Drosophila melanogaster: one gene and its partner. Changing the gene in region 2 together with the main gene of any one other region gives a genetic interaction. Each region holds a gene or a part of one and is shown on either strand. Other genes may lie near its edges. The genes, in order: Top1 and B52.

Region 1 (4,924 bases), on a different chromosome or scaffold from region 2:
GCAAGCACCCGGAAGTCATCGGATTCGGATCGGAATCAGGAGCAGCCGCCGCCGCCGCTTCAGGAGGACGACCAGGACTAGAGTGATGGAGAGCGCCCGATCGGGTCTCGACTGAAGGGTTTCATCGATGTGATATGTAACTACTGTCCTGGCAGTCAGCTCAAGCCCCAACATACAAAGTGTCCCTAATTCGTACCAACCAATAGAACCAATAATTCAGGGTTACTTCTCGTTCGGTCAACTGATGGGTAACTGCTGCGGTACAGTTTAGGTACAGATACAGATACGGATAGATAACCTTTAACCCCAACTTATGAGTGAGCCTGAGACAAGCATACTTTAGATACCCTGCCCACATGCACACACTCACATATATATATATATATATATATATATATGTACATATATACACTGTTTGTTCAGTTTGTTGTTTTTAACTTCCTGTCCCACGTAGAAGGACTTTTACATGCATGTAGAACTAGTTACCGTTACCGTTTCCGTTTCCGATTTCGTTTAGAATGTTAGACACATACATATTTAGTAGCTTAATCCAATCACAGCTGATTCTTTTGAACACAACTTGTTATTTGCTGATCCCAATTTTCTAAAACAAAAAGATGGTAGAACAAATATGAATAGAAAAGAGTCACGTCAATTTGCATCGAAAGCGGAAACGGCAACAAACACCCACAAAGGATTAAGATAATGATATAAGTAATGATTAGCGTAAATGGGAGGATTTAAACAATTATTATGCTAAATGAAATATACTATTAAAAACCTATGTACCATACGTTGTGCGTAATGCCCAAACTAAACGTGATAAAAGACTGTTACCAACTACATACACACATACATAATACCGAGATGGAAACAACCGTAAATCTAAAACTAAAACCTAAACTTAAATCGGCATAGTTTCGCATGAAAAGGTAATATATACATACATACATAAATATAACAAATATATTCATACGCGCACTAAAAGGAAGCGTTGCATAGTTTAATTACATTTACCGTACGAACACTTTTTATAGATGTTTAATGTTGTTATGGTTAAGATAAATCCGGACGAATTGATGGATTTTGGCCAAGCACGGTGCACTGCATATATGTAGCAAGTGAGCCAAGTACAATTTACACAAATGTATACATAATTAGATGCATATATGGTTCGATGTAAACTAATAATAAATCGATGTAAAAGCGTAAAAACGGAAGTTAAGAAACCACACACACACACAAACACACACACCCACAAAAACCAGAAAAAGCTGAGGCGACAAAAATATGAGAACTCTGTTAAATGTTTGTTATGCATTTGTTTTTTTTTTTATCTAAATTAATATTAAACTAATGTATTAGTGAATAAACTTGTGTACCTACATACAAAACAATGATAAAGCAGTTATGGCGGTGGTTTTATTTGTTTTTCTTCCAAAATAATAATTGCAAGAGCTGTACGAAAGTAATAAATTACTTCGATGCCAGAACGTTAAATAATTTCTTTAAATGTTTTATATTTCATTTTGTGGCATTCAATGCTTATTTTTTTTTTTTTGAACGTTTGGCGCTGCATTTACCACAATCAGTGATTTAAGCAAATAGTGGGGAAAACCCTTTTGTGAAAGTGAAAAAAAGTTAGCTTTTTCTTAAAGTTATTCTAGATTTCGTATCAATTCAGTGCTCAGACTATCGAGAAAGAGTGAACATCTATCGACAGGCTAGTATCGACACGGGCACCGACGGTCACACTGTCCGAATCCGAACTATCAGCCTATCGCTCTCCGATAGCAGCAGTCGCTACTTGTCCGAACCAATCGCCTATCGGGGAGACTGCGTGGCTGCTGCGTTCCGTAAAACGCAAAGAAGCCAAAAAGCAAGGGCATTCGCATTGACCAAAGCACCAAACGCTGCTCCTTTTCGAAAAACTTCAGTGCGCTTTTATTTCCCCGCCGCTGTCACCGCTTTAAGGAGCACCAACATCTAATTATTGAAAATCCTAACGAACAGTTTAGTCGAACAGTGTAAAAGCGTGAAAAGAAAAGAAAGGAACGAATAAAATAAAAGAAAAACCGCTAAGCGAGTTCCGCAAAATGAGTGGGGATGTGGCTGCCGAAAATGTAAGTGCCCTAAACGAAATATCCATTCCTTTTTTATGTAATGTGCAAACGTGTTGAATGGGGGGACTTTGCCTGCCGCCTGCAGCCTGCCTGTCAGTCCCAAAAAATCAAGTTAAATTCTGAACCGCATAATTGTAGGGTGCACAGGATAGTTGCAAGTGTACCGCTCGCTGCTGGCAGCTGGCAGCGACGCCGACAGCGCTGCCAGCAGAGTGCGTAAAATACAACGAGCAGAGAAAAAAAAGTAAGAAGAGGTCTTTTGGTAATTGACGAAAATGGCGACAATGCAAGTGGGAAAAGGTGAAGGATGGTGTGAAGCAGGGAGGGGAAGAGCCGAGGCAGACGAAATGTATTTGGCACAGTGTGGCCGCAGCTGGCTGGTATTTTAATCAAAACTGGTATTTTCACCAGCCACTCGAACGTTGCCTTTCCACATTTTTCCCCCTCAAAAACACCCTTTAACTAACTCATTTCCCTGCATTTCCACTGCAACTTGCCTTATTTACGTTCGCATAGCGTCTCAATTTCCCTGTTCTTCGTAGATTACCACCAAGTTTGGTCACACTGCCCTCTTCCACACACATAATATCACATGTGTTTGCTGCTGTTGTTGTTGTTGTTGTTGGTTGTGGACCGCTGCTTTCATGTACATATGTAATTGCAAGTGTCCCATTTTGCAATTACACTTCTACATGCACATACATATACGAAGGTGTTCCGTCGTCTGATAAGACAGATGTGCCACCCCAAAACAGCCAAAAACAAATAAAAGCATTAACTAGAAAATGCTCCGGATGAATAATATGCAACCACAATAACAACAATAACCCCGTGGGGATGTGTTTGTGTGTGTAGCTGTTAAAAAAAAAAAAAAAAATGCAAAAAGTGTAAAAAAAAAGCAACGATTTTCTGTATTCTAAACGACTCTTGTGCGTGTGTGGGTGTCATTGTTTGGCAAGGTGTTTTTTAAATATATATTAACCTATTCCAAGTGATTCGGAAACAATTTTCAATTTCCTGTCGCCATCGCTCGGCGGCTCTTCTTCTTCGATTAACCCATTGCTGGTAGTTTAAAGTGAATTTTCCTACGCGGCATTTGTTAGGGTTGATTTTCACCACGTGGTGAGCGGATAGACACGAGATAATAGCCAATCATCGCCAGAAATCGAGAGGAAATCGAGTAGATCCACAAGCGACCAGTTGGGCCAACATGACGGATGCACAGGTTTCTGGCCCGGATTCACTCTCACTTTTCAGCTGGTCCATCTACATATATACGTACTAACTAACTGATACCATCTCCCTTTCTTCTTTCTTCCATCTCGCCATCTCTCTCGCGCCCGCAGAGCATCCACATACAAAATGGTGGCAGCTGCGAGGTGGTTCAATCCAACGGGGTGACCACCAATGGACACGGACACCACCACCATCATCACCACAGCAGCAGCAGCAGCAGCAGCAGCAAGCATAAATCCTCCAGCAAGGACAAGCATCGTGATAGGGAGAGGGAGCACAAGAGCTCCAATTCCTCCAGCTCGTCGAAGGAGCACAAGAGCAGCAGTCGGTACGTATGTAGGAGCAGATCGATTTGACTCGACTCTATGCGATTCGATTCGAATCGGGCCACTCGTGTCGAACCATCTGGAACAGTCCAAATAGGTCAAAGTCAGGAAAGGACAATGTAATCACCTGGGATTCATAATAGTGCTTACATTAAGAGACAGTTGTTCCCCATGTGCTCATTGTTATAGTTCTTATAATCAATTTACAGTGCCAAACTAATGAAATGTAGGTAGCTATCACTTTAAAGGTATTCCGTCTAAAATGGCCTAAGTTTCTATGTTCAGTTCCTAAGTAATTTAAATTATCTCCCAAGAAAGCGACTTTAGATAGAAGCTGGAAGAAAAGGTGCATATGTATATAGAATGAGAAACTGCAATCAGACCAGATAATTCAATATTATATACAGAGTAATGCTTTTTTCAGAGCTATAGATTAGGCTATAACATTTCACAAGGAATCCAACTAATAACCCTAACCTTTTACATTTTAGCGACAAGGATCGACACAAGAGCAGCAGTTCGTCGTCAAAGCATCGGGACAAGGACAAGGAGCGCGATGGCAGCAGCAACTCGCATCGCAGCGGCTCATCGTCCAGCCACAAGGATAAGGATGGGAGCAGCAGCAGCAAGCACAAGTCGTCGTCGGGCCACCACAAGAGGTCCTCGAAGGATAAGGAGCGACGCGATAAGGACAAGGATCGCGGCAGCAGTTCATCCAGTCGGCACAAGTCCTCGTCCAGCTCCCGTGACAAAGAGCGCAGCAGCAGCAGTCACAAGAGCAGCTCCTCTTCATCCTCATCGAAGAGCAAACATTCCAGTTCGCGGCACAGCAGCTCATCTTCCTCGAAAGACCAGCCATCGTACGATGGCGTATTTGTTAAGCCGGAGCCCGTTTCCCAACAGCTGATGCACTCGGGCTCGGTGGATGCTTTCCAGATGCAACAGCTCGGTAGCTACGAAGCCGCAGCCGCCGGCACCAATTTTAATGGCAATGGAAACGTTGCCGGTGCCAACTATAAGAACGGCTACGAGGAATCGATCGTAGACATCAAGAAGGAGGAGGAGAGCTTTAACAATCTGTCGCAAGCCAGCTCCTGTGACTACTCCATGTCCCAGTTTCGTGCCGATGAGCCGCCGTTTGTGGTGAAGCACGAGCAGAGCTACGCCGAAGAGGACAGCACCATGAACTACAATGATCACGACGACGACGCCGACGAGATGAACGACGACGAGGAGGAT
Region 2 (7,895 bases):
AGAAAAAATCTCTTTTATCCCTATGTGCTTTGTATATAATAGTGTACTTAATTCGTACAAGTAATTACTTTAAAAGCAAAACACAAACGATATATATTGTTAGAACCAAAACTTTGTCAGTTTATAAAACTTAGTTATGCATTTGATTTTAGATTGCTAATTCATTTTCAAATTTTAAATATTTAACTAGGATATATTTCAGCCAATGAGGTGTCAAAATTATCATTGGCGTTCTTCAAATTCAAGATAAATAAAATCAAATGAAATTGTAATTTTAATTCAGGCAAATAATGCGAAATAGTGAAACTAAGACTTTGTAATATACTTATATTCCGAAATTACGACAACAAAAAAGAAAAACAATAAACTAACTTTATATGATTAAAATCGTCGAAGTACTTTATATCCTTTTTGAAGTGAAACCAGCGAGCAAACATTTATAGTTTAAATTTATCCGTATTTATTGAAATTACTCATTGTATAGACAATTTTAAGTGTTCCGGTGTACAAGTCGCAGTAATTTCGTGGCCTATATGTACTCCTTGAATCCAAATCGGCACATTCAGCCGATCCCTGTCATCTTCCAGCCAATGTCCCATGTCCACAACAAGACTTAGGACAAATTGTCGTTATATATTTAAAAGAAAATGACGAGGCCCGACAGTGGTGGATTGGTATGATTTCATATTCATTAAGTTTTGGTTGTAGTCGGGGTGTCTGAGTGTTGATGTTTGTAGAATAGTTATAGTAGAAGTCTAAAATCAAGTGTTTTAATATTAATGGGACAGCTAACTAATCTAATCGTCCATGCTCTCGTTATTGCGGTCCGGTGAGGCGTTTCCATTTTTGGGCGAGGCCGAACGGGAGCGTGAGCGCGAACGCGACTTGTTTTCAGCCGATGCGGATCGATCGCTGCAAAAGAAAGGCATTGTAGTGAACTATAGAACGAGCTTTTGAACGACCACCGTTGGCGGGCTACAAACAGGTGCATCCAAACAAAACCAAAGAAAGCACGAAAGAAAGAATCGTGAACGGTCTATAATAATATGGAGCCATGGTCATCGCACTGTGGCCAAACTTACCGTGAACGGGAGTCGCGGTGGATGGACTTGGAACGTGAGCGGGAACGGGACTCGCGCTTCGAGACGGACCGCGATCGGGAACGGGAGTCACGCTCACGTTTGGGCGAACGGGAGCGGGTGCGGGAGTGGGACTTTGACTTGGACTTGGACACGTCACGCGATTTGCTGCAGCGGAAGTAGTGAAGTAATTAATTAGTGGGCAATCATATGAAGTAAAAAGCCAGGGAGGATCGTAATTAATATTTTCTATCGTGTAAAATCTATATAATATTAATATTAAAGCATATATCACAAAGAATTTGTGATTAAGTACGATCCCTACCAGACTTTATTCTCTCTCTACTTACTTGGATCGCGAGCGGGAGCGAGAACGAGACTTGACTGGCGACTTGGACTTGGAGCGTCCGCCACGAGATTTGGAGCGGCTGCGAGACTTGGAGCGCGAGTGCGACGAGCGGCGAGAGCGAGAACGCCTGCGGGATCGGGAGCGCGATCGGGAGCTGGACGAACGGGAGCGTCCACGTCCGCTGCCGCCGCCACCACCGCTGCGTCCTCCGCGACGATCCTCGACCAAGTGGATCCGCCTGCCGTTTAGCTCGGTGTCATCCAACTTCTCAATGGCCGTCTTCATGTCCGACAACGAGGCGAACTCAACCACGCTGCAAAGGAACACAATTGTAGTTGGTTGTATGTAAAATAATTTCAACCATTTTCAAACATACCCCTCATTGCGACGCTGCTTGTGGGCATCGGCATAGGTGACCTCGCCAGCCTGGCGCATGTAATCCTTGAGATCCTGCAGGGACGCACAAAGTCGGAACGAAAAGATAGTAATTAGTAAGTTTCAGCTTTGGCAGATGTCTCGCACATTTCGACATCGCACATCCGACGGCAGTGGTTGCAACTCAAAGGACAGCCCGTGCAGCAGATGGAGCATTTTGAATGTTTTCGGTATTATTTGGGGCTCCTAACCAAGTCCCAGCCTCTCACAAGTCCCTCTCTCTCTCTCACTCAGTGCCCTGTGTTCGTCTATCCTGTGCTCTTGTCGCGCCTGCCTACGTGTGGAAACCGAGAACCTCACTCCGGACGAAGGATTTCGCTTGGCCAGGAAAAAAGAAGGAGGAGGTGCCCAGAACGTACCGAACACAACATTCAAACACTCCACGCTGCACGCGGCACAAAACTTAAGCGTAAACAATCATAGTTAACAGTGGTTGGCAATTGATAGTAGATATATATATATATATATAGATTGAGTTGATTTGGTTTGGAAATAAATTAAAGTTAACAAAATAGTTGTAATTGAATTCTTACTTAATGCGCTTTCAGAGAGAGGAGGACACACACATCGTTTCTACACCGAGAGTTTAGATTGTCTGCCTAGTAACTGTGGGCCAATGACACCAAGGACACCTCATGACCTCATCGAAAGTCCGATCGAACATCGTTAACTCAACCAGTCAGCCAGAAGAGAACCAGTGGCCAGGCAGGCGGATGAGCGGATGGATGGCCAGAGCTCGTTACGTTTTGTTTGTTTGGATTTGGTATTCGTTTTCATTTGGCCACGTACGTACCACCAAGTACACAGTTTTGTTATGTTTTTCATGTACAACAGAATCATATTATAAATGGCAAAAAGGTATTCAAGTGTTGCGGTAGCTGTTTTCGTTTCGTTTCGGAGGAAGCCACACACCGGATACAGTCAGGAGGAGGTCAGATCAGATCAGAGCAGACATCGCTGGCCAGAACCACCGCACCAGAGAGCCAGAGAATGGAGCATTTGGAGCAGTTTGCCGGTCAGAGGCGGACAACAACCAGCGGCATCGGCACCTCACGCACAAACGAACTGCAAAAATAAGAAATACGTTTCGGGACGCTGCTCTCGCTTCTCCAACGGGTTGGGTTGGTGGTTGTCTAGTCGGTAGTCTCAGCCGGAGACGGGGCAGGTAGCCGTATGCCGTTTGCCGGAGCCGCAGCCATAAGCCAGAGCCGCAGCCGGAAGCCAGAAGAACCGGGAATGGGGGGAAGGAATAAGTTCGGAGGCACTAGCCGAAGTTGGTAACTGAACGCGCGACCAGCATCGCAGCATCGTGTCATCGTCATCGATCGATCATCGTCATATGCTCATCCCTCATCGTCGCCAAGACCATCACATCATCTTAGAATTAGCGAACGCAAGCTTCTCATCTAACCACACTCGATTGATTCGATTCGCACCCTCATCACACTCACAATGGCTATAAGGAATTTGACAATTCTTTATATAATATTGTTGGTAATTAAAATTGTGAATGTTTTTAGCAGAGAGTTAAATACCTAACGCAAGAGGCCAGCCCACGTCTTTTCAATCAGTGTGGGCTTTAATACGTGGGCTGGCCTTTTGACCCGGGCAGCTCATCAACGTCCATCGTCATCGTCTGCTTTCTGATTTCGATTTTGCATTCAGTTTTGGGTTCGATTCTGATCGACTTGTTCATTTCGTTATGTGTTCTATATTATGTTTTATTTGGAATAGACGACGAATGGATGAGGCGGCGGCGATGGCGCTTCGTGGAGGTCGGTCGTAGGTTGCAGATCGTAGTTCGCATATCGAAACCAATCTGGGGCGGCTCTGGGTACTGTCTCACTCTGTCTTCCACCGCATCTTGGTTTTTGGGTAACATTCTGAACCGGTCGGTCGGTCACTAGACTAGCTTGTCTTTCTCACAGCGATTCAATTAGATTTGATTCTCTTTCAGTTTTAGATTCGGCCCCAAGCCGAGGAGGGAATCTCTCAGTCAAAGCACATCAAACTCTTTTTATTATCGGTTTCGGTTGGTGTGTGCAAGAGAAAGTAATGGTGGGTAGATTACACCGATCAGTACCAGGGTTTTAGCAATATCTTTTGTTTTCGTGTTTCACTTAAGTCTAGGTCAACTGTACAGCTTAGGGCTAGATTACAGATTATAGAATTGGCTCTAGTCAGAGTGGAGGAGGAGTTAAAACACAAAACAGGACGAAGACACCGGAAAGTAATTCGAAATCAAAAAGGGGCTCGAAAAGGTTGGTTCTGGGATGGGTAAGTTGATTAATGGGTGTTTGTAATAGTGATCCATTTCAGTCGGTTAGCCGTTTTAATTCTAGTACTACACTCCTCGAATCTAAGCTACAGTATATACCACGCCCAAGGCGCGATACATCGATCCATGCTCACTTACCTGCCAGCTAACGCGGCTAGACAAATTCTCCACAATCAGTCGGTACTCAGTGCGCAACGGTGGGCCATAACGAGAGGATGATCTGGAATTTTTGTTTCTGGTGAATAATTGAATGGATTCGCTAATTAGTATTGACACTGCGCTGCTGCTCCTGATGCTCCATCACAAAAATTAACGGTAATGGTGAATATATTCCAGCATATGCATATTTACATTTGGGTTATGCGCAACAAATCAAACATTTTACATACTATGCGGATGGGTGGAACGTGCAAATAAAAGCAACAATAGTATGCATAGGAAAACGGAGCGTCTTGGAAATGATAATATTAACAGCAAGTCAGTGTCTTTTGGTTCCCTTCCACGCAGAAGAAATCAGCTTATACGATTGCACTACCAAAAGTGTATAAAACTATAGAAGTCAATATATAATAAACTGATGTTTTTTATATATATCGCAAGTAGCTAATATTATAGGTATATAGATTTTGCACGATCTAAGCTGGTTGCATCTGTGTGGATGGAGATATCAAACGAAACAAATTGGCAGTGCTAATTCTAGGGCAAACTTCAACGCAAACAAAGTTGGAGGACGATATCGTCGCTACTTTGGTCCGGTTTTAAGGTCCGCTGGCAGTACTACTTACTTTTCGTTGTAACGACCGCCCCCGCCCCCCCGCCGACCACCATATCGATCGTCGTAGCGGTCGCGGTTGCTGCCACGAGCGGTACCCCTGGCGGGTTCAACAACCACACTGCAAAAATATAGAACATACAATCGTGAGTCATTTCGTACTTTGGCTTATATCTAACAACTCACCGTTCGCCAAGCAGCTCTTTGCCATTCAGTTCATAGACGGCATCGTCGGCATCACGATAGTCTTCGAATTCCTGAAAATTCAATTAGTGATTAGTATTGATTATGGAATTAGTATTGAAGCTACCCTGCCTGTGCATACTCTTATGGAAATACGCTGGGTGAATTTAAGAACAGTTTTTAAGCGTCACTGTATTTGACAGACAAATGATGGAACAAATATAGGTTCAAAAAGAAAAAAAAAGTATTCAAGGGTCGGCTTGAAATGTTAGGAAACCTATAGACAAACAGAGAAATGCAGAAATGTCTTCAAATCAAATTTAACCGATTTTTTTTTTTTACATATTCCAGTTAAATATGATATTTTGTACTCACCACAAAGCCGTAGCCATTTTTGATGAGGATGTCGCGTGTGCGGCCGTAGCCTTTGAAAAAGCGCTCCAAATCGCGCTCGCGCACTCCGTAGGGCAGACCGCCCACATACACTCGAGATCCCACCATGATAACGGTTCCTTACGTATCTGGAGCAGGTGCTATAAAATAGTGAAGTATATATATATATATCAGCAAGGGAACCGTTGCAGTTTGCAGCTTCTATTTTGCTCGACTGTCCTTTAGGAATGGAAGAAAAAAAAAACGCACATATGTACGCGCCGTGTATGTTTCGCCAAGATGGCGGCCACCACATACACACACACACGCTCGCAATGTACCGGGTGTACAGAACCGCTGCAAAAACGAGTTAATTTAACAACGCGAAATACGCGCTGTTCTTCACTTAAGCGTACTCACTAGCACGTACCGTTCAGTGAAGGATATTTGTGGCAAATTTACAATTAAGTCGCTGCCGTACTCTCTCTTTTTCAGGCTTTCCCACACGAAAAAACGCAAGCGACTCGACACAAACGGAAGTGAAAGTGACAGACGAAAGCGATGTTTGACAGTCATTCCAAAGGCGGAATGGAACGATACTTTTTCGCCTATCGATATTTTGGGCGGGCAATGCGTTTCGCTGCGTTAAGGGTATTCCAGTTGCTGTTCGTGTTCCGCTATGAAAAGAATAAACATTAAATATACTTAGTAGTAGCATTTGAATATACTGTTAACAACCTTTTTATTTTGATATCTGCTAGCAAGCACTCATTAGCATTTTTTAACGTTTCTGATTTGATGATATACATAAAATGTTTCTGGATTTATTAATTTATTTCGCACGATGTCTTTTTTTATTCCCAAATGCCTCATAGATCCCGTAATTGTAATATTGATTGACCCTTAGCTGGCTACTTACAAATATACAATTCAATACAAAATAATTTACAAGTTATCTCTTAAAGTGAAGCCTTCCATCGCCCCAGCTAAAGCGAATGCTCGCAGAAAGAGTTATGTAAGCGGTATTAATAATAATACATATTTAGCTAAAAAGTTAAACATATTAAATGTTTCTTGGGTTATCGTGGTAGTAATTATCATAATCCATTTATAAAGATAATACATTCAAATCCGTTTGTTCAGAAATATATACAATAAACTTGTCTAATATTTTTAAGCCCTTACTAGACGAATACAAATTTATATGAAGATATATAAAATCAAGTGTGGCATCAGCTTAATTGTCGAGGAACACCCCTAACGCACCGAAACAATCGTTCCGATTCCACGTGGCGTCCGATTTTCCGACTTTACCCCGTTCTCGACACCTGGTCATACTGCTCACTCCATTCTCATTGTGCGTGCTGTACATTTCATTTATTGCCAGTCTGCCGTCAAAAAAGAACAAAAACAAAAAAAATATTTCCTGCGTTCGGTGTTTAAACTTTCCATCTTCTTGAACAACCAAGGAGAGAATGGCGGAACAAAACGATTCCAACGGAAACTACGACGATGGTGAAGAGGTGAGTTGCAGAATGACCAATTGCTGTTTGTAAATCGTTCATCGCGCGTGAAAGTGCAAAATGTCGACGCCGACAATATTCGTGTATAATATACATTCACGCCGCTTTTTTACCGAATTATGGGGGCCATCGATCCCTGTGCGAATTTAGCCAGCTAAAAGTTTATCGACCTCTTTTGGCGAGAAATATAAGCAATTTCCGATAAAAAAGTTGCCGGCTGTTTGATAAAAAAGAAAACGAAAATTCATACATACATACACATATACGGGCTGTCATGGCGGTGCAAATACTAAAAAAAAAAAAAAAAAATATGGCGAGCGGCTTTTTCTCGCCAGGTAAATTACTATTATAAACAATGGCAAATCCTTGTTGATCAAGGATGATTTTGCACTTTTATCGTTTTATTGACATAAACTTATTGACTTATTGACAGCAACTTATTTTTTTATTAAATTTACAGCAACTTATTATACATTTAAATATTTTTTATACATTTATTCATTTAGATACAGTATGATTTTTTTTTTTATTATATAAATTTATACATTTTTCGCAAAGTTTGTCCAAAGAAATCAATTAATTTAATTTAATATTACAACTTATTTTCGAATCAATGGGTTTTTTTTTTGTTTTTAGAAATTATTTAAATTATAGAACGTCTTTAGCTAATGCATTTGAAATTCACCCGCAGATCACCGAGCCAGAGCAGCTGCGCAAACTGTTCATCGGCGGACTGGACTACCGCACCACAGATGATGGCCTGAAGGCTCACTTCGAGAAGTGGGGCAACATTGTCGACGTGGTGGTGATGAAGGATCCCAAGACGAAGCGCTCTCGCGGCTTCGGTTTCATCACGTACTCCCAGTCGTACATGATCGACAATGCGCAGAATGCCAGGCCACAC

Evidence for each region.
Region 1: of B52 (region 2) and Top1, changing one suppresses a phenotype caused by changing the other (phenotypic suppression), as found in Drosophila melanogaster (one study listed by BioGRID).

The regions. Positions count from the first base shown.
Region 1 is NC_004354.4:15,317,685-15,322,608, forward strand, and holds the start of Top1 (topoisomerase 1), read left to right. Parts: upstream 1-1,807; 5' UTR 1,808-2,096; coding exon 2,097-2,123; intron 2,124-2,269; exon of another isoform or gene 2,270-2,353; intron 2,354-2,684; exon of another isoform or gene 2,685-3,333; coding exon of another isoform or gene 3,334-3,348; intron 3,349-3,469; coding exon 3,470-3,687; intron 3,688-4,176; coding exon 4,177-4,924. Other genes in the region: gce (germ cell-expressed bHLH-PAS), read left to right, coding at 1-81. UniProt on the Drosophila melanogaster protein: Releases the supercoiling and torsional tension of DNA introduced during the DNA replication and transcription by transiently cleaving and rejoining one strand of the DNA duplex.
Region 2 is NT_033777.3:13,659,436-13,667,330, reverse strand, and holds B52 (B52), read right to left. Parts: upstream 6,021-7,895; 5' UTR 5,889-6,020; exon of another isoform or gene 5,630-5,888; 5' UTR 5,598-5,629; coding exon 5,472-5,597; intron 5,171-5,471; coding exon 5,100-5,170; intron 5,035-5,099; coding exon 4,927-5,034; intron 4,377-4,926; coding exon 4,280-4,376; coding exon of another isoform or gene 4,223-4,279; exon of another isoform or gene 3,877-4,222; coding exon of another isoform or gene 3,856-3,876; exon of another isoform or gene 1,879-3,855; coding exon 1,805-1,878; intron 1,742-1,804; coding exon 1,430-1,741; intron 1,248-1,429; coding exon 1,083-1,247; intron 976-1,082; coding exon of another isoform or gene 939-975; exon of another isoform or gene 913-938; coding exon 798-912; 3' UTR 440-797; downstream 1-439. Other genes in the region: Hrb87F (heterogeneous nuclear ribonucleoprotein at 87F), read left to right, coding at 6,944-6,991, 7,683-7,895. UniProt on the Drosophila melanogaster protein: Essential for development. May have a critical role in splicing or in controlling alternative splice site use of at least some pre-mRNA in vivo. Not required for all splicing. May play a general role in the condensation or decondensation of chromatin.